Oryctolagus cuniculus: one gene and its partner. The protein of the gene in region 2 purifies or fractionates together with the protein of the main gene of each other region. This does not show direct contact. Links are inferred from orthologs where the notes say so. Each region holds a gene or a part of one and is shown on either strand. Other genes may lie near its edges.

Evidence for each region.
Region 1: the proteins of CCNK (region 2) and CDK12 purify together in Homo sapiens (affinity purification with mass spectrometry; 6 studies listed by BioGRID and IntAct, with this or other methods). This does not show direct contact. The link is inferred for Oryctolagus cuniculus from reciprocal best matches to the Homo sapiens genes CCNK and CDK12.

The regions. Positions count from the first base shown.
Region 1 is NC_091448.1:22,835,516-22,839,665, reverse strand, and holds the end of CDK12 (cyclin-dependent kinase 12), read left to right. Parts: coding exon 1-433; 3' UTR 434-3,649; downstream 3,650-4,150. UniProt on the Homo sapiens protein: Cyclin-dependent kinase that phosphorylates the C-terminal domain (CTD) of the large subunit of RNA polymerase II (POLR2A), thereby acting as a key regulator of transcription elongation.
Region 2 is NC_091451.1:43,336,148-43,340,243, forward strand, and holds the start of CCNK (cyclin-K), read left to right. Parts: upstream 1-1,293; 5' UTR 1,294-1,536; intron 1,537-1,633; exon of another isoform or gene 1,634-1,853; intron 1,854-4,096. UniProt on the Homo sapiens protein: Regulatory subunit of cyclin-dependent kinases that mediates activation of target kinases.

The DNA of each region.
Region 1 (4,150 bases), on a different chromosome or scaffold from region 2:
GTTCAGTGCCACTGACACTGATGAACGCAACTCTGGTCCAGCCTTGACAGAATCCTTGGTCCAGACCCTGGTGAAGAACAGGACCTTCTCAGGCTCTGTGAGCCACCTTGGGGAGTCCAGCAGTTACCAGGGCACAGGGTCAGTGCAGTTCCCAGGTGACCAGGACCTTCGTTTTGCCAGGGTCCCCTTAGCATTACACTCAGTGGTCGGGCAACCATTCCTGAAGGCTGAGGGAAGCAGCAACTCTGTCGTACATGCAGAGACCAAATTACAAAACTATGGGGAGCTGGGGCCAGGAACCACTGTGGCCAGCAGCTCAGGAGCAGGCCTTCCCTGGGTGGCCCCAGCTCAGTCTTCTGCTTATGGAAAACTCTATCGGGGGCCTACAAGAGTTCCTCCAAGAGGGGGAAGAGGGAGAGGAGTTCCTTACTAACCCAGAGACTTCAGTGTCCTGAAATATTCTTTCCCTATTCATCCTTCCATCCAGTCCTCAAAACCTTTAATGAAATCATTTGCCAGAGGGAGGTAGTCATCTGCATTTGGCTAGTGCGAAGCTGTCCAGTGTATTTCTTGCTCACTTGCTAGAAGCAAGTGACCTATAAGGATGTTGGCACCAGTTCCTCCTGGATGGGTGACAGCCAGAATTTCAGCTCTACCTAGTAGATACAGTAGAGAATGTGAAAAAGAGTCATTAAATTAAAAAGCAAATGTTTTATTAGCTATTGACTGCACTTCTTGAGCAGAAGAGAGAACAGTTTCAGTTTTGAGATGGCTCAGGAGAGGATCCATTTGGTTTTTAAAGTTTTGGGACTTTTTTCTCTTTTGGTGGTTTCTTTTAAATTGTAGATTGGGTTGTTTTTGGGTTTCGGGGTTATTTTCTTTTGAAGAGAATAGTGTTCACAAAATTTGAGCTGCTCATAGGCTTTTGTTAAAAGGAAAACAGAGTGGCCTGGCTGATTGAAATAAATGTTTTCTTCCTCTCCACCATTTCACATTTTTGCTTTTAAGTGAACACATTTTTCCCCATTGAGCATCTTGAACACATCTTTTTTCCAAATAAATTACTCATTCTTATAGTTCCCTCCACTTTGAAAAAAAGATGTGCCCCTCTCCCTGCACATAAACCAGGTTGTAGAAGGTGGCATTCTTGGGCAAGTAGGTAGACTTACTCTATCTATTTCTGTTTTTTATTTATATTTATATATTCTCTCCTTCCCTCTTACTCTCCTCCTACCCTCTCCCATCCTCCCTCTCTCCCCTCCCCCTTTTCCTCTCCATCTTTGTTTCTCTTTCTGCCTCTCCTCCATTCCCTCCCATTTTGAGTAATTTGTTTGGAAAAAAATCATTAAGATGCCAAAGAACCTGGAATAATTCTTTTTTTTTTTTAAATAAAGGAAAGGAAATTCAAACTCCTACATTGTTCTTTGTAAAATGTTTTTTAAAAACCATGTTCTGATGGGGAAGTTGATTGTAAATGTGGACAGCCTAGGACTTTGCTGTTGAGCTGTGGTTAGAGATGAAGCCTCCAACGTAGAGGGCTAATAAGAGCAGTTAGTATATTGTTTACACATATATTTTTATGTCCAAAAAAAAAAAAAAAAAAAACCTTTCAAACCAAGCATTGTGATATTGTCAAAGAAAAAAAATACATCCTGAAAATATGTGGAAATGTAACCTAGTTTAGGGTGGGTATTTTTCTGAAGATACCTTTTATAAGAGATAGTTTTAAAACAGCTTATTGAGAGAAAGAACAGTATTGACATATACACATCCCAGCCATGTATATCCTGCCAATTCTTTTAGAGATTTTTCACTGGAGAGATTTGGTTTTGGTTCTGGTGGTAAAGGGGGTTAAAGTATGACTTCCTGGCAAGAACTTGGCCTTATTATAAACAGGAAATGGAAAAGAGAACGACTCTCAGGGTTGAATAATTTGGGAGGCTTCTCGTTCTGTCTTCCATTTCTTCGTGAGTACCAGCATACAGAATGTGACATGTCATACAATCTGTCTGCACAGACTTATTGCATGAAGCTTAGGTTAGCTCTCTTACAAAGAAAAGGCAAAAACATACTTCAGCATCTTGGAGGATAGTTTCCAAAACCTAAGTAAAGGTTTGTGTTGCAATGCCAAGTTCTTATATTAAATAAAATCTGCGTATAAGAGAAAGGTGCATCAATTAACAAAAGAAAACTTTATAAAGAAAAGAAGAACCCACTTCAGATACTTACATGAAGACTTTTCCCGTGAATCGTAATAGGTAGTTACTGGTGTGTGTATTTCTTTATTATTATTTGGTTTTTGGTCTGCCCTTGCCCTCGGGGCCAAACATCGATTAGAAAGAGAACCTAGCCATTTTGGCGTTGGTGACTTTTTATGCAAGTATGTCCAGTTAGATTTGCCAGGCACACTGAAATGCTATTGGTTAATTACAATAAAGTTCATCTGAATCTTCTGTCGACTTCTGAATAGTCTTCAGATGTGGGCCTTTATATTTTAGAATATTTCAATTAGAGGGCTTGGGCCCCAGTCCCCTGTTTTTGATTAAAGAGCCTGAGCCTCAGATACTTTCAAAAGTATCTGTTCAGTGAAAAAAATTGGTTTCCCACCAGATATGAATAAAATTTTATATGTTTTCATTGTATTTTGGTTGTCAACAATCATCAATAATTTTCCCCCTCCCTTTTCTACCCCTAATTTTTAATTATGCCAAATATTCTAAATAATATACTTAAGCCTCCATTCTCCCATCCCTGCTAGGGATGGATGTATGTGTGAGTGTGTGTATGTGTATACATGATTCCATCTCACCCCACCCCCATTTGGGGAGTCTTAACTTTTAAAAGGAAAAAGGAAAAAAAAAAAGCAAGTTTGGTAATTTGACTATTTCTAAAACCAGAGAAAAAGAGAAACTCCTTTAATATCCTGGAATCTCTGTGGAGGAAGAAAAGGTATTTGGTCACTTTTCAGCCATGTTATCTATAAATGTGATGGAAGTAAAGGTTTGGCAGAATTTCATCTTGGCTCTCTGAAAATTACAAACCGAATTAATTCCATTCAAAAGTGGTTTTGGTTTTATTTTAATTGTACCTTGGAAGATATCAAGGCTATTAAATACATTATTTTGAACAGATGAGAAATCTAATTCTGTTCACGAATAAGAGGCAAAACTGGTTTGACCATGATCATTTTTGTGGTTTTGAAACAAATTTGCTTGACCCAGTTGTTTTTATTTTTTTTTCTTCAGCTGTCCATAGAAACAATAAGGATTTGAAAATGACATCAGATCTATATGTTTAAAGCAGGGCAGTTAGCACAAATTTGTAAGTAGGACTTCTGTTAGCTTATGCCATAGACATCACCCAGCCACTTGTATGTGTGTATGTATATAATATGCATATATAGTTACAGTGCTACAATGGTTACCAGCAGGTTTTGAGAGAGAATGCTGCATCAGAAAAGTGTCAGTTGCCACCTCATTTTCCCTGACTTAGGTTCCTGACACTGTATTCCTTTCTCTCTCTTGTTTTTGCCCCCCATCGGGTGTACTTTGTCTATGTACAGATATTTTGTAATATATTAAATTTTTTTCTTTCAGTTTATAAAAATGGAAAGTGGAGATTGGAAAATTAAATATTTCCTGCTACTATACCACTTTTGCTCCATTGCATTTCCTTCTTAATCTGTACTTTCTGAGCATATCTGATCATGTATAAAGGGCATTTTCCTCCACTCTTTCTTAGGGGTTCTCCATCTCAAAATTGCTATAATCTCATAAACTGCAAAAACTAAGTTTTCAGGGTTTGAAGAGGTACTTGAAAAGACTAGGAACTAGTGAATTTTTAAATGAAAGAAACTGTAAAATGCAATTTCTTTTAAAAGTAGAAAACAGTTACACAAATAATGGTGGCACAAAGCCACTGAGAGTTGAGCATCATGTACCCTGACTCCTCCTGACAGGAGAGGTAAGTGGGTTTGAGCTCAGCTGTCTTCAGGGGAAGTCGTTAAAAGACTGTTTAGACCCAAAGGATAGTCTCTTAAACCCGATTCCCCACCCAGTTCCCATGTTCTAGAACAGGGTCAGCCTGGGGATGAGTATACTTAGGTTGATGGAGATTTCCTGATGCATTGCCAACCCTGGAAATAAATCAA
Region 2 (4,096 bases):
AGGCCGCCCTGTGGCTGCCGGAGCACTCGGCCGCGCGAGCCGCTCTCCCAGCCAGAGACAGCGCCTCGGCCGGCCGCTGGCCCTTCACCAAGACGGCAGGCACGGCAGCCCCGGGGCCTCACTTGGCGAGGCAGGACTCCACGCCGGGAAGCCCGCATAGACACGGCCTGGCGCGCCAAAGCCGCTTCCAACCTGCCGTAGCCTGGAGCTGAGCGCACTCGCTCAAAATAATGGACATCGCCGCCGCAGCTCCGGTGTTAAACACCGGCAGGGTCAATTTTGAGAAAAAAATAGGAGGTGGGGGAGTGGGAAGAGGAGGAGGAGGAGGAAGAGGAGGGAGAGGGAGAGGAGGAGGAGGAAGAGGGAGAGGAAGAGGGAGAGGAGGAGGGAGAGGAGGAGGGAGAAGAGGAGGAAGAGCTTTTACTCGGGATGAAACTCGCGCTCCGGCGGCCGGCGGAGTCCACACGGCCCCGGGGGGACCCCCAGCACCGGGGGCCAGGCCCGGACGCACCCTCGCCGGAGGGCGACCTCTCGGGGCGCGCAGGGGCTGGAGCAGGCGCACACTTCGGGAGTCCGCCGCCGCGCCGAGGGCCAGCCGGGCAGGGGCCGCGCCGCCCCCGAGGCCCGGCGGAGCCCGGGGAGCCCGGGGAGCCAGGGCTGCGCGCCGCGGCGGCCGCGGGCAGGAAGCGAGAGTTTACCACCGGAACGCCCCGCTCGGGCCCCTGGCGGACGCCGGCCGGCGCCGACCTATTTCCCGGGCGGTCTCGCCAACTGCGCGGCCCGGGGGCCCCGAGCGTCGGGAGGGAGCGCGACCCCACCTCCACAGCCTCCGCCGGCAGGAACGGGAGCGCGGCGTCGCCGCACGCGGAGCCCGCGGCCGGGGCTGCCCGCTGCACCTGCCGCCGCCTCGGGACTCGTGGGCGCGCCCGCCCGCTGGGCCTCAGGGCGGGGGCCCTGCCCGCTCGCACCCGCCGCGCCGGGGCCCGCAGCGGCCGGCTGGGGCGCGGGCCGGACCTGGGCCGAGGGGCAGCGGCCGGGAAGCGCTCGGGGGCCGAGGCGCCGGCCACCTCCGCGGCCCGTGCCCGCGGAGACGCCGCCCCGACACTCACCTGCCCGCTTCCCCTTCCGCGCAGCGCGGCGCCTCACTCGCGCTCGGACCCCACCGTCCGCCTCAACCAACCCGGCGGCGGCGGCGGCGGCGGCCGGACGGGAGGGCGGGACGGCGGCCTGAGACGGCCCCGCAGCCGCGGCCCAACCCGGCTCCGCCCGCCCCCGGACTCCGCCCCCGGGCCGCCGCCGCCGCCGCTCATTGGCCCGCGCCGCGCACGCATGGGCGCGGCTCCGCCCCGCCGCCGGGCCGCCGTTCCGCCCGGGATCCTCCGCAGCCATTGGGCTGGTGGCTCCCGGGGGCCAGAGCGGCCAGATCAGCCGCCGCCAGCCCCGAGACCACCATTGGCTGGACTGGGTCCACGCCATAGCTCTGATTGGACAACTGGCGGCTCGGGCCCCGCCTTCGCACCCAAGTTCCGTTAGCAGGTTCGGTTGCTCCCGAATTCCCTTTCGCCATGGGGGGCGGGGCCGTCGGGCCGGGCACTTTGGCTGGCTCCTCCCCCTGCACGCAGCAGCTGCTTACCGCGGGGTGGGCGGGGAGCAGAGCCCCCGGCTCGCTAGTTTTTTTGGGAGTTCTACTTTCTTCTGATTGGTTGGCAGGCGCCTGTGCGCACCGCTCCTCCGGTCGCTCGTTTTACGTTGCGCGACGCAGCGCGATGACGTAGAGTTCCCAGCATTCCACATCCAAGATGGCCGCGGTCGGCAAGGAGAGACGTAGCTAAGGGGCTTGCCTGAGGCGAGGGGTGAGTGTCCTACCGACTGCGGGCTGTACCGCCCCGCTCCCGCTCACCCGGGGGTCGGAGCAGGGTGTGGCCACCCGCCTCCGTCCGCGCGCGGAGTCTCTCTTCCCTGATTCCGGACCCCGCCTCTCGCCTCCTGTGCACGCTGAAGTTGGCGGGCTTCGGCAGAGGGGCTGAGGCGCAGGGGCCGGACGGGGACTCGGGGTGGGCCCTGGAGCGGGCAGCCGCGCTCCCTGCGCGGTCCGGTTGGGGTTCCAGGAGCTCCCTGCGGTGGCGGAACCGGGCAGGGGTTGCAGCCGCGGACCGCCCACGCTCCCCGCAGCGGACCCTGGACGCAGCGGGGGTGGGCCGGCGGGATGGGAAGAGGCACTTCCGCGATGAGATTCGGGTTGGTTTGTTAGCTCAGGAACTCGGGGCGTGGGTCCGGGGGTTAGCGAGGGCGCTGACAGCTGTGGCCCGTTCAACGGAGCTCTTGCAGACCCCGGGAGGTTAGGGACGACTGACCGGGGCCGTTGCTGTCCGGCCTGTCGCGTTTTTAAGGTGGTACCTCGAGCGAAACCGCCCTTCAGCGAGTGACGCATTAGTCGTGCGTGTTGGTGGATTCTTGCCTAAGTCGTGTTTCACGCGTGTGCTGTTTGGAAAATGCAGTTTGCACCAGCAAGCAATAAAGAAACATTTGAATTGTTTATGCGATTCTTAAGATTTGAATGCTCTTTTTAAGTTCAGTCTCATAAAGCAAAAAAAAAAATCACTCGTAGTTTTGGAGTAAGGAATGAGCTTCGTTTTGGGAGACTGTGGAAAGCGGTGAGTTTGCTGAGTGTCTGAAGGAAGGGAAATGAGGACTGGGCGAGGACAAATACCTGCCGGGTCACTGAGACGGCGGAGCGGATCTGGTTGGGTCGCCTCATTCCCGGGTTTAAGCGCAGATGAAGTTGCGCACGCGGAGGGGCAGAGTCGGTTGTATACGCTTGTCCGTGGCTTTGGAGGAGCCCCAGATGTGCAGTTGTGATGGAAAACTGAGCTCCGGGGCGTGTCCGTTCTCTCGGAGACGGCTCCCGGGCGCTGCTTTGTCACCCGTTGTAGAATCTCCCGCAAGCGCTTGGGAAAGGAGAGCGGAGCCCCTCGGGCCTGCGGGGCCGGGTGACTCAGGCCCTGGTGGTGGCTGCGGGATTGCTGGACATTTGGGCGGCTTGGCTGACGTTGTAGTCGGATGGATGGGCGTCCGCTCAAATTACCAAACCCGAAGCATTTGGATGTGAGTGTCGTCCTGAAGAAGAACGACACTACATTTACAAAAACTTAAATTTACACCGAAATTTGCAAAATCTCAGTTGTGAGTATTTGAGATGAGGAGGAACTGGCTTGACAGGAAATGGTTCCGGGTTGTGGTGCTCCGTTCTGGAGGTAAAGTAGTGGCTGCACTGAGGGAAGGCAGTATCTCAGTCTGAAGTGAAGCAAATTGTGACTGCCGTTCGCCAGCGGTGTGCACCGGGCAGGTTACTTCGTGTCTCCTCGGCTGGTTTTCTCCGGGATCAGCTGTAAGGGTAAGACAGGTAACTTGCCCCATAGCTGCAGCTCTGCGGACACACCGTGGACGTGTTACTCTCAGACCACCTGTTACATAGATCTTACAGAGTTTCTTTTTTTCTCATTTTGATGGCTAATATTTAGAGAAGACCTAGAAACCCTGAGAACCCTTATGGAAAAATGGTTAATTTGTTTACCTTGGAGAAAAGAGGGGTAGGCAAAATTGTCTTCATATATTTCAAAGGCAATCATTAGGTCAGAGAAACTGTTTCCAAGGCTTTAAAAGTCTCTAGGTGGGAGTGATGGAGAGTTCTTACAAGGTAGTTATTTTGTGCCATCTATGTAGCAGATCTAGGGAAGGAACGGAACACACAGAGATCAATATAGGGCTGGTCCTGGTGTGGCAGGTTAAGGTTCCACCTGCAACATCCCATGTGGGCACTAGTTCAAGACCCGGCTGTCCCACTTCCAATCCAGCTCCCTGCTAAGGTGCTTGGGAAAGCAGTAGAAGATGGCCCACCCGGCACCCACACTGGAGACCCAGCAGAAGCTCCAGGCCCAGCCCCAGCTGTTGCAGCCATTTAGGGAGTGAGCCATCCGATAGAGGATTGAGCCCTTTCTCTGTAGAGCTCCCTTTCAAATAAGTAAAACATAAGTACTTTTTTTTCCCACAGTCCAGTAATTTATTTTAAATTGGAATAACTTCAGATTCCACAAAC